2 linked regions of the Rattus norvegicus genome follow. Each later gene encodes a partner of the first gene's protein in a complex. Links are inferred from orthologs where the notes say so. Each region holds a gene or a part of one and is shown on either strand. Other genes may lie near its edges.

Region 1 (3,817 bases):
ACCCATCCACCTATCTACCCATCCACCCATCCACCCATCCACCCACCCATCCACCCACCTATCCATCCATCCATCCATCCATCCATCCATCCATCCATCCATCCATCCATCTATCCATTCACCCATCTACTCACCTACCCACCCACCCATCCACCCACCCATCCACCCATCCACCCACCCATCCATCCATCCACCCACCCATCCATCCATCCATCCATCCATCCATCCATCCATCCACCCACCCACCCATCCACCCATCCATCCATCCATCCATCCATCCATCCACCCACTCATCCACCCACCCATCCATCCATCCATCCACCCACTCATCCACCCACCCATCCATCCATCCACCCACCCATCCATCCATCCACCCACCCATCCATCCATCCATCTATCCATCCATCCACCCACTCATCCACCCACCCATCCATCCACCCACCCACCCATCCATCCATCCATCCACCCACTCATCCACCCACTCATCTACCCATCCATCCACCCACCCATCCATCCACCCATCCACCCACCCATCCATCCACCCATCTATCCACCCATCCACCCACTCATCCATCCACCCATCCACCCACCCATCCATCCACCCATCTATCCACCCATCCACCCACTCATCCATCCATCTACCCATCCATCCACCCATCCATCCACCCACCCACCCACCCATCCATCCACCCACCCACCCACTCACCCACCCATCCACCCACCCACCCATCCATCCTTCCATCCATAGTTCTGTTGAGACTATGTAGCCCTGGCTGTCCTGGAGCTCACTCTACAGACAAGGCTGGCTCTGTCTGCCTTTGCCTTTTGAGTGCTGGGATTAAAGGCATGTGCTGTCACCACTGCCCAGCAATATCAGATAATTTTAAACCAATGTATTTTTCTACCTTTTCAAATCTCAAGACACAAGAAAAATTTCATTTTATTAATGAGATGTTTTTCTTGTAGCAATACACATTGAGTCATAGGAGATTGCGTTTTACAGCTCATGCTGCATTGTGTATGATGGTTTAACCTAATAGCTTAAATAAGGCAGGGCTGATGGTGGCCGCTGTGCTGCTCAGGTTGTGGTAAGTCACATCTCAGGAACACTCCGTCCTCCCTGGACACCTTATTTTGTCACCAATATACCTTTGTTTTTCTTCTTAATTCTTTCATCTTTTGATGTTTTTATTTTCCTTAATTCTTTGATCTTCTGATGGCTAGTGCCTTAGTTAGGGTCTTATTGCTGTGAACAGACACCATGACCAGTGTAAGTTTTATAAAGGACAACATTTAATTGGGGCTGGCCTATAGGTTTAGAGGTTCAGTCCATTATCATCAAGGCAGGAGCATGGCAGCATCCAGGCAGGCATGGTGCAGGAGGAGCTGAGCTCTACATCTTCACCGGAAGGAAGCCAGAAACAGACTGAGCATCTCCAGGCAGCTAGGAGGAGGGTCTCCAAGCCCACCTCACAGTGACACACTTCCTCCAACAAGGCCACACCTTCTGATAGTGCCACTCTCTGGGCTAAACTTATACAAACCATCACAGCTAGACTGTACATTTTCCTGATATCGGAAGTGGAAAGAACTAAAGACAGACCATGCATATACGAGTAGCAAGTAGGAAGCCTTAAGGCACATGGAACTTTCAGTTGGTTCTTTCCCACTTACTTCTTATGCTAGAAGTCCTGTTGAAGCTGGGTATGGTGGTGCACACCTTTAACCCCAGCACTTGGGAGGTGGAGCCAGGGAGATGCCTGCGAGTTCAAAGCCAACATGGTTTACATAGTTCAGGGCAGTCAGAGCTATGTAATGTCGCCTGCACTCACCTGCATATAGACAGCAATTACAATGTAAAGAGAGACTTTGTTTCAAAAAACAAACACAGAAAGACCTGCTGAAAAGGAGACCCCAAGTGGCAGCACATGGCAGATGGGAAGGGGAACTCAGGCTATTAAATCAATAAAATGCTGTACATGGTGGTGCACACCCATGATCCCAGTACTTGAGAAGCTGAAAGAGAATGACAATGAGTCTGATTCCAGCCTGGGCTACAGTGAGGATTCTGTCTCAAAAAACCAGTCACCAGTTGGAAACAAATTATTATTCTTTTCTGTTTCCTTTGTTTTTGTTTTTAATGTTTGTTTATTTATTTATTGTATATGGGTGCACTGTAGCTGTTTTTAGACACCCCGGAAGAGGGCATCAGATCCCATTACAGATGGTTGTGAGCCACCATGTGGTTGCTGGGAATTGAACTCAGGACCTCTGGAAGAGCAGTGAGTGCTCTTAACCTCTTGAGCCATCTCTCCAGCCCTGTTTTTATTTTTTGTTAAAAGTTTAAGTTTTAGTATAGTTCTTGTTATGGTTCCATATCCTTTTATATATACAATTATATAATACAAATCGTCCAGAGGATGGTCTTTTGAGTCATATGCAGCTGGGTTGTAAGGATGAGGATAGATTTTCCATGGGTGAATGGTTTGTTGTAAAGCTAAGCTTGCATAAGAACCCATAGGATATTGCACACTTTTTGTTGGTAACATGAAACAGTGTAAACAGTGATGCCACACAACACAGTTTCTTTGTGGGCTGGAAAAAGACTGTACTCTGTCATTGTCATTTGGGTAGACATACATGCCTTTTCTTTTTTTCTTTTTTCTTTTTTTTGGAGCTGGGGATCGAACCCAGGGCTTTGCGCTTGCTAGGCAAGTGCTCTACCACTGAGCTAAATCCCCAACCCCCATACATGCCTTTTCATTTGACTGCCTCGATCCTTAAACATTAGTGGCAGGGGCTGGAGGGATGGCTCAGCGATTAACACCACTGGCTGCTCTTCCAGAGGTCCTGAGTTCAATTCCTAGCACCCACATGGTGGCTCACACCCATCTGTAATTGTAGTCCCATGGGATCCAATGCCTTCTTCTGGTGTGCAAATTGTACAAAGTACCCATACACATAAAAGTACATAAATAAAAAATTAGTGGCAGATTTTAATGTTTTTCTCAGCATATTCAATGAAGTATGAGCTAGAAGGGAAAACAGTTTAAAGAGAAAAGCTGTAGTAACGTAGCGTGAGTATTAATTCATATCCTAAACTCTTGAAACTACTACTTTTATTTTCTTGGTTTTACTGAAAATTCTTCTTCCAACATTGCTGTCTCTCTTAGGGAACATGAATGGTTTAAGCAGGACCTTCCAAAATATCTCTTTCCTGAAGACCCGTCTTATAGTTCAACCATGATTGATGATGAAGCCTTAAAAGAAGTGTGTGAGAAGTTCGAGTGCTCAGAGGAGGAGGTCCTCAGCTGCCTGTACAACAGAAACCACCAGGACCCACTGGCAGTTGCCTACCACCTCATAATAGACAACAGGAGAATAATGAACGAAGCCAAAGATTTCTACTTGGCAACAAGCCCACCCGATTCTTTCCTCGATGATCACCATTTAACTCGGCCTCACCCTGAGAGAGTACCATTCTTGGTTGCCGAAACACCAAGGGCCCGACACACCCTAGATGAATTAAACCCACAGAAATCCAAACACCAAGGCGTACGGAAGGCAAAGTGGCATTTGGGGATTCGAAGTCAAAGCCGACCCAATGACATCATGGCAGAAGTGTGTAGAGCAATCAAGCAGTTGGACTATGAATGGAAGGTAAGGCAGGTGCTCTAACACATTTAGCGAGCATTGTAGACAAAAGGCCTTTGTAGAAGAACTGATTTGATATGCCTTTGTTTCCATCCACATCAAATGCTAGGTTGTAAACCCCTATTATTTGCGTGTGCGAAGGAAGAACCCTGTGACAAGCACA
Region 2 (3,817 bases), on another chromosome or scaffold:
CTGGCTGTCCTGGAACTGGCTCTGTAGAACAGGCTGGCCTCAAACTCAGAGTTCCACCTGTTTCTGCCTCCTGAGTGCTGGGACCGAAGACCACCCCTGCCAGCTAGATGTTGTTTTTAGTCAGCTGGGGTACTGGGAGTGAGGTACAGAATTAGTCAGGACTCCAAGTGGTTCTCGCCACTAACTCAATGATATGACGACCTTGAACAGTTCTTCTAACTGTCTGCATGTATTCTCATTTCAAACATGAAGACAATACTTACTTAATAGACCAGTAAGAATTCAGAGTTTCGGAGTGAATGCAGCGTGGCAGACACCTTTAATCTCAGTACTGGGGAGGCAGAGGCAGGTGGGTTTCTCAATTCGAGAGAGTTCCAGGACAACCAGGGCTGCATAGAGAGACCCTGTCTTGAAAAATGGGAAAGGGGCCTGTGGGGGATGAAATGATGCATTATTTTGAAGTGTAAAGTACGTCAGACATCTAGATCGTCACTGTGGAGGTTGCCCTCCCCATTAGAGCAGGCAGATGAAAACACAGACTGTCAGGCATAGCTGCATACATCCCTGCAATCCCAACACTTGGAAAACGAAGGCAGTAGGATTACTACAAACTTGAGGCCAGGCGGGGCGTATAGCAAGGTTCTATCTCGAGTAAATGAAGGAGTCAGAGAGTTGGCTCAGCGTAAGAACACTGACTTCTCTTCCAGAGGACGAGTGGTCAACTCAGCACCCACATGGCAGCTCCCAGCTGTCGGTAATTCCCAGGCCTCAGCAGGCAGCAGGCACACATGTGTGCACAGGCAACAAAGTAAAACACCCATTCAGAAAAAGCAAATCGGGTTGGGGATTTAGCTCAGTGGTAGAGCGCTTGCCTAGGAAGCGCAAGGCCCTGGGTTCGGTCCCCAGCACCGGAAAAAAAAAAAGAACCAAAAAAAAAGAAAAGAAAAAGCAAATCCCCCCCACCCCAAGAAAATCAAGTTTTTCTTTTAAAAACCCCTTACAATTATTTAAAAGACAAAAACTGGGGTTGGGGATTTAGCTCAGTGGTAGAGCGCTTGCCTAGCAAGCGCAAGGCCCTGGGTTCGGTCCCCAGCTCCCAAAAAAAAAAAAAAAAAAAAAGACAAAAACCCCAAAAGTCATAATCCAGAAGAATGGAGGGAAACCTGGCCAGGCCCCGCCATTTGGATTTCTGAATCTTGGGTGGTCCTCCATGCTCTGGCCAGGTTGACTGAGCGCTTAGTATTATTAGCAACGGCCTTGCCTGGACCGTGAGTTCTCCACCTACGTAAAAGTGATGCACGACTCTTCCACCCATAGAGACCCCGGAATCGAACAGTAGTGTGTACACCACCTTCATGAAGTCTCATCGCTGCTATGACCTGATCCCCACAAGCTCCAAGCTGGTGGTATTTGATACTTCGCTGCAGGTGGGTAGAGCCCTTCCTTTCTACGTTCCTCAAACGCGCTAGTCCAAAGCCCGTCATCATCCGCCATACTCCCCCACACACCAACCCATTCTTCTTGCAGCTGTGCCTTGTGAGGATTTTCCTTAGGATGTTGCTCTCTTGGCCATAGGTAAAGAAAGCCTTCTTTGCCCTGGTGACTAACGGTGTTCGTGCTGCCCCTTTGTGGGATAGTAAGAAGCAGAGCTTTGTGGGTAAGCAGAAGTTCCTGGAATACAGTTATTGCCAGTCAGGGAGAAAAGCTCTGGACTGTGCTGAGGGCTCTTGTCTTGGCTTCTAGGCATGCTGACCATCACTGACTTCATCAATATTCTGCACCGATACTACAAGTCAGCCCTGGTAAGGAACCTGAACCTCCGAACCAAAACCACAGCCCTGCCTTTGGCTCCACTGTGCCTTGTTTTCTCCCCTCCAAGCCAAGCTCCTTGGGTTAAGAGGGGAAGTGAGTCTCAAGTCTGCTGCTCCTGCTTCTAGGTGCAGATCTATGAACTGGAGGAGCACAAGATAGAGACTTGGAGAGGTATGGACAAGTTGTAGCAGATGAGGGATGGAGGGTGTCCCGGGAAGCACTTACGTGGCAGTGTTTGTGAACTGTCCCTGTTCTCTTCAGAGGTCTACCTGCAAGACTCCTTTAAGCCACTTGTCTGCATTTCTCCAAATGCCAGGTGAGTTCTGGTTTTGTGTTTATCCCTAAACACCTGAAGACCCCGCCTCGTGCACGCTGCCTTTGGTTGTTTGCTTGCTTGTGAAGAAGTCTTCCCAGAGCCACAGCTGGCCTTGACCTTTCTGTAGAGTTCAGGCTGTCCTGAACCTGTAACTCTTCTGTTTGTCCTAGTACAGACTTACAAGTATTCACCACGCCCAGCCGTTACACACAGCTCGTCAAGTCTGAGCACTGAGCTATAACCACACTCTAAGGGGCTGTGCAGCTGGGCTTTAGCCCTGTGGAACCTGACTATGATCTGTCTTCTCACAGCTTGTTCGATGCTGTCTCTTCATTAATTCGAAATAAGATCCACAGGCTTCCAGTTATTGACCCGGAGTCAGGCAACACCTTGTACATTCTTACTCACAAGCGGATCCTCAAGTTCCTCAAGTTGTTTGTAAGTATACCTCAGCCGCTCATCCGTCTTATATGATGGATTGGAGACATATGCACAGCAGTTTGGGGGCCCTAAAGGTCGAGCTGACAGGTCAGTGGTTTGGTGCTGAGGATTGAACCTAGCACCTCATGGTCTACCAGGAAAGCTCCTGAAAACTGATGGCTTTCCTCAGATCACTGAGTTCCCCAAGCCGGAATTCATGTCTAAGTCTCTGGAAGAGCTACAGATTGGCACCTACGCCAATATTGCCATGGTCCGTACCACTACACCTGTCTATGTGGCTCTGGGCATCTTTGTACAGCACCGAGTCTCCGCCTTGCCTGTGGTGGATGAGAAAGGTGAGTGATGGGGCAAGAAGAGGGAGGCTGCCAGGCTCAGGCAGGTCTCCCCAACCCAGCCCGGAAGGTGGTCCACAGGGAGTGGGGCTTTGGCCACCACACTCCTCTGTTTCACTGACTTGCCTCTGTCTCCCTAGGGCGTGTGGTGGACATCTACTCCAAGTTTGATGTGATTGTGAGTGGTGGGGCTGGGAGATAGGGGAGGGGAGGGGGTGCTGGGGGTGGAGAGGGAGCAGAGGGGTCTCCTCCGCCTGAACCAGCTGGCAGAACTGCTTGTGAGCAATGGTCAAGAGCGCCCTCACTCCCTCTAGTGAGGTCGGGTTGGTCCAGGGTTTGGGAACTGACTCCCCTTCAAAGCCTGCTCCCCACTTCCAGAATTTGGCAGCAGAAAAGACATACAACAACCTAGATGTGTCTGTGACAAAAGCCCTACAGCACCGGTCACACTACTTCGAGGGTGTTCTCAAGTGCTACCTACATGAGACTCTAGAAGCAATCATCAATAGACTGGTGGAAGCAGAGGTAGGAAGCGGCCAGCCTCAGGCAGCCAGTGGGGAGTGGCCCCAAGAGGGTAGGGGTGAGGCAGCTACCCTAACTGCAGCTAGCACTCACATTACTTCTTGTTCCTCTGTGCCAGGTTCACCGTCTGGTGGTGGTGGATGAACATGACGTGGTCAAGGGCATTGTATCGCTGTCTGACATCTTACAGGCTCTGGTGCTCACAGGTGGAGAGAAGAAGCCCTGAGCATGGGGCGGAACAGGCAGTGCCTGGGGAGATGGCCCCCTCACTGCCTGCCTGCTGTAAGAGCCGGAATCAGATGGAATCCTGAGAGAACGGAGTCTTCCCTCAGGAGCTCCACGCCCACTGTCTAGAACTAGAGAAGGGGAAAGGAGGAGAAGGACTGTTAGCTTC

Evidence for each region.
Region 2: the proteins of Prkaa1 (region 1) and Prkag1 are in contact, whole or in part, in a crystal structure (PDB 6C9H), measured with the Homo sapiens proteins. The link is inferred for Rattus norvegicus from reciprocal best matches to the Homo sapiens genes PRKAA1 and PRKAG1. Residues at the interface, in NP_006242.5 of Homo sapiens: Ser295, Ser296, Thr297, Met298, Ile299, Asp301, Glu302, Lys305, Arg342, Glu347, Ala348, Phe351, Tyr352, Leu353, Arg369, His371, Pro372, Glu373, Pro376, Phe377, Asn449, Val451, Thr452, Thr536, Pro537, Arg538, Gly540, Ser541, His542, Thr543; in NP_002724.1 of Homo sapiens: His36, Asp40, Leu41, Ile42, Pro43, Thr44, Ser45, Val50, Leu64, Val65, Gly68, Val69, Arg70, Trp75, Ser77, Lys78, Lys79, Gln80, Phe82, Pro158, Glu159, Ser160, Gly161, Asn162, Lys170, Arg171, Lys174, Phe175, Leu178, Phe179.

Annotation. Positions count from the first base shown.
Region 1 is NC_086020.1:55,995,014-55,998,830, forward strand, and holds part of Prkaa1 (5'-AMP-activated protein kinase catalytic subunit alpha-1), read left to right. Parts: intron 1-3,173; coding exon 3,174-3,660; intron 3,661-3,763; coding exon 3,764-3,817. UniProt on the Homo sapiens protein: Catalytic subunit of AMP-activated protein kinase (AMPK), an energy sensor protein kinase that plays a key role in regulating cellular energy metabolism.
Region 2 is NC_086025.1:131,842,470-131,846,286, reverse strand, and holds part of Prkag1 (5'-AMP-activated protein kinase subunit gamma-1), read left to right. Parts: intron 1-1,317; coding exon 1,318-1,427; intron 1,428-1,575; coding exon 1,576-1,657; intron 1,658-1,743; coding exon 1,744-1,802; intron 1,803-1,937; coding exon 1,938-1,983; intron 1,984-2,073; coding exon 2,074-2,128; intron 2,129-2,439; coding exon 2,440-2,566; intron 2,567-2,738; coding exon 2,739-2,904; intron 2,905-3,041; coding exon 3,042-3,079; intron 3,080-3,279; coding exon 3,280-3,426; intron 3,427-3,541; coding exon 3,542-3,649; 3' UTR 3,650-3,817. UniProt on the Homo sapiens protein: AMP/ATP-binding subunit of AMP-activated protein kinase (AMPK), an energy sensor protein kinase that plays a key role in regulating cellular energy metabolism.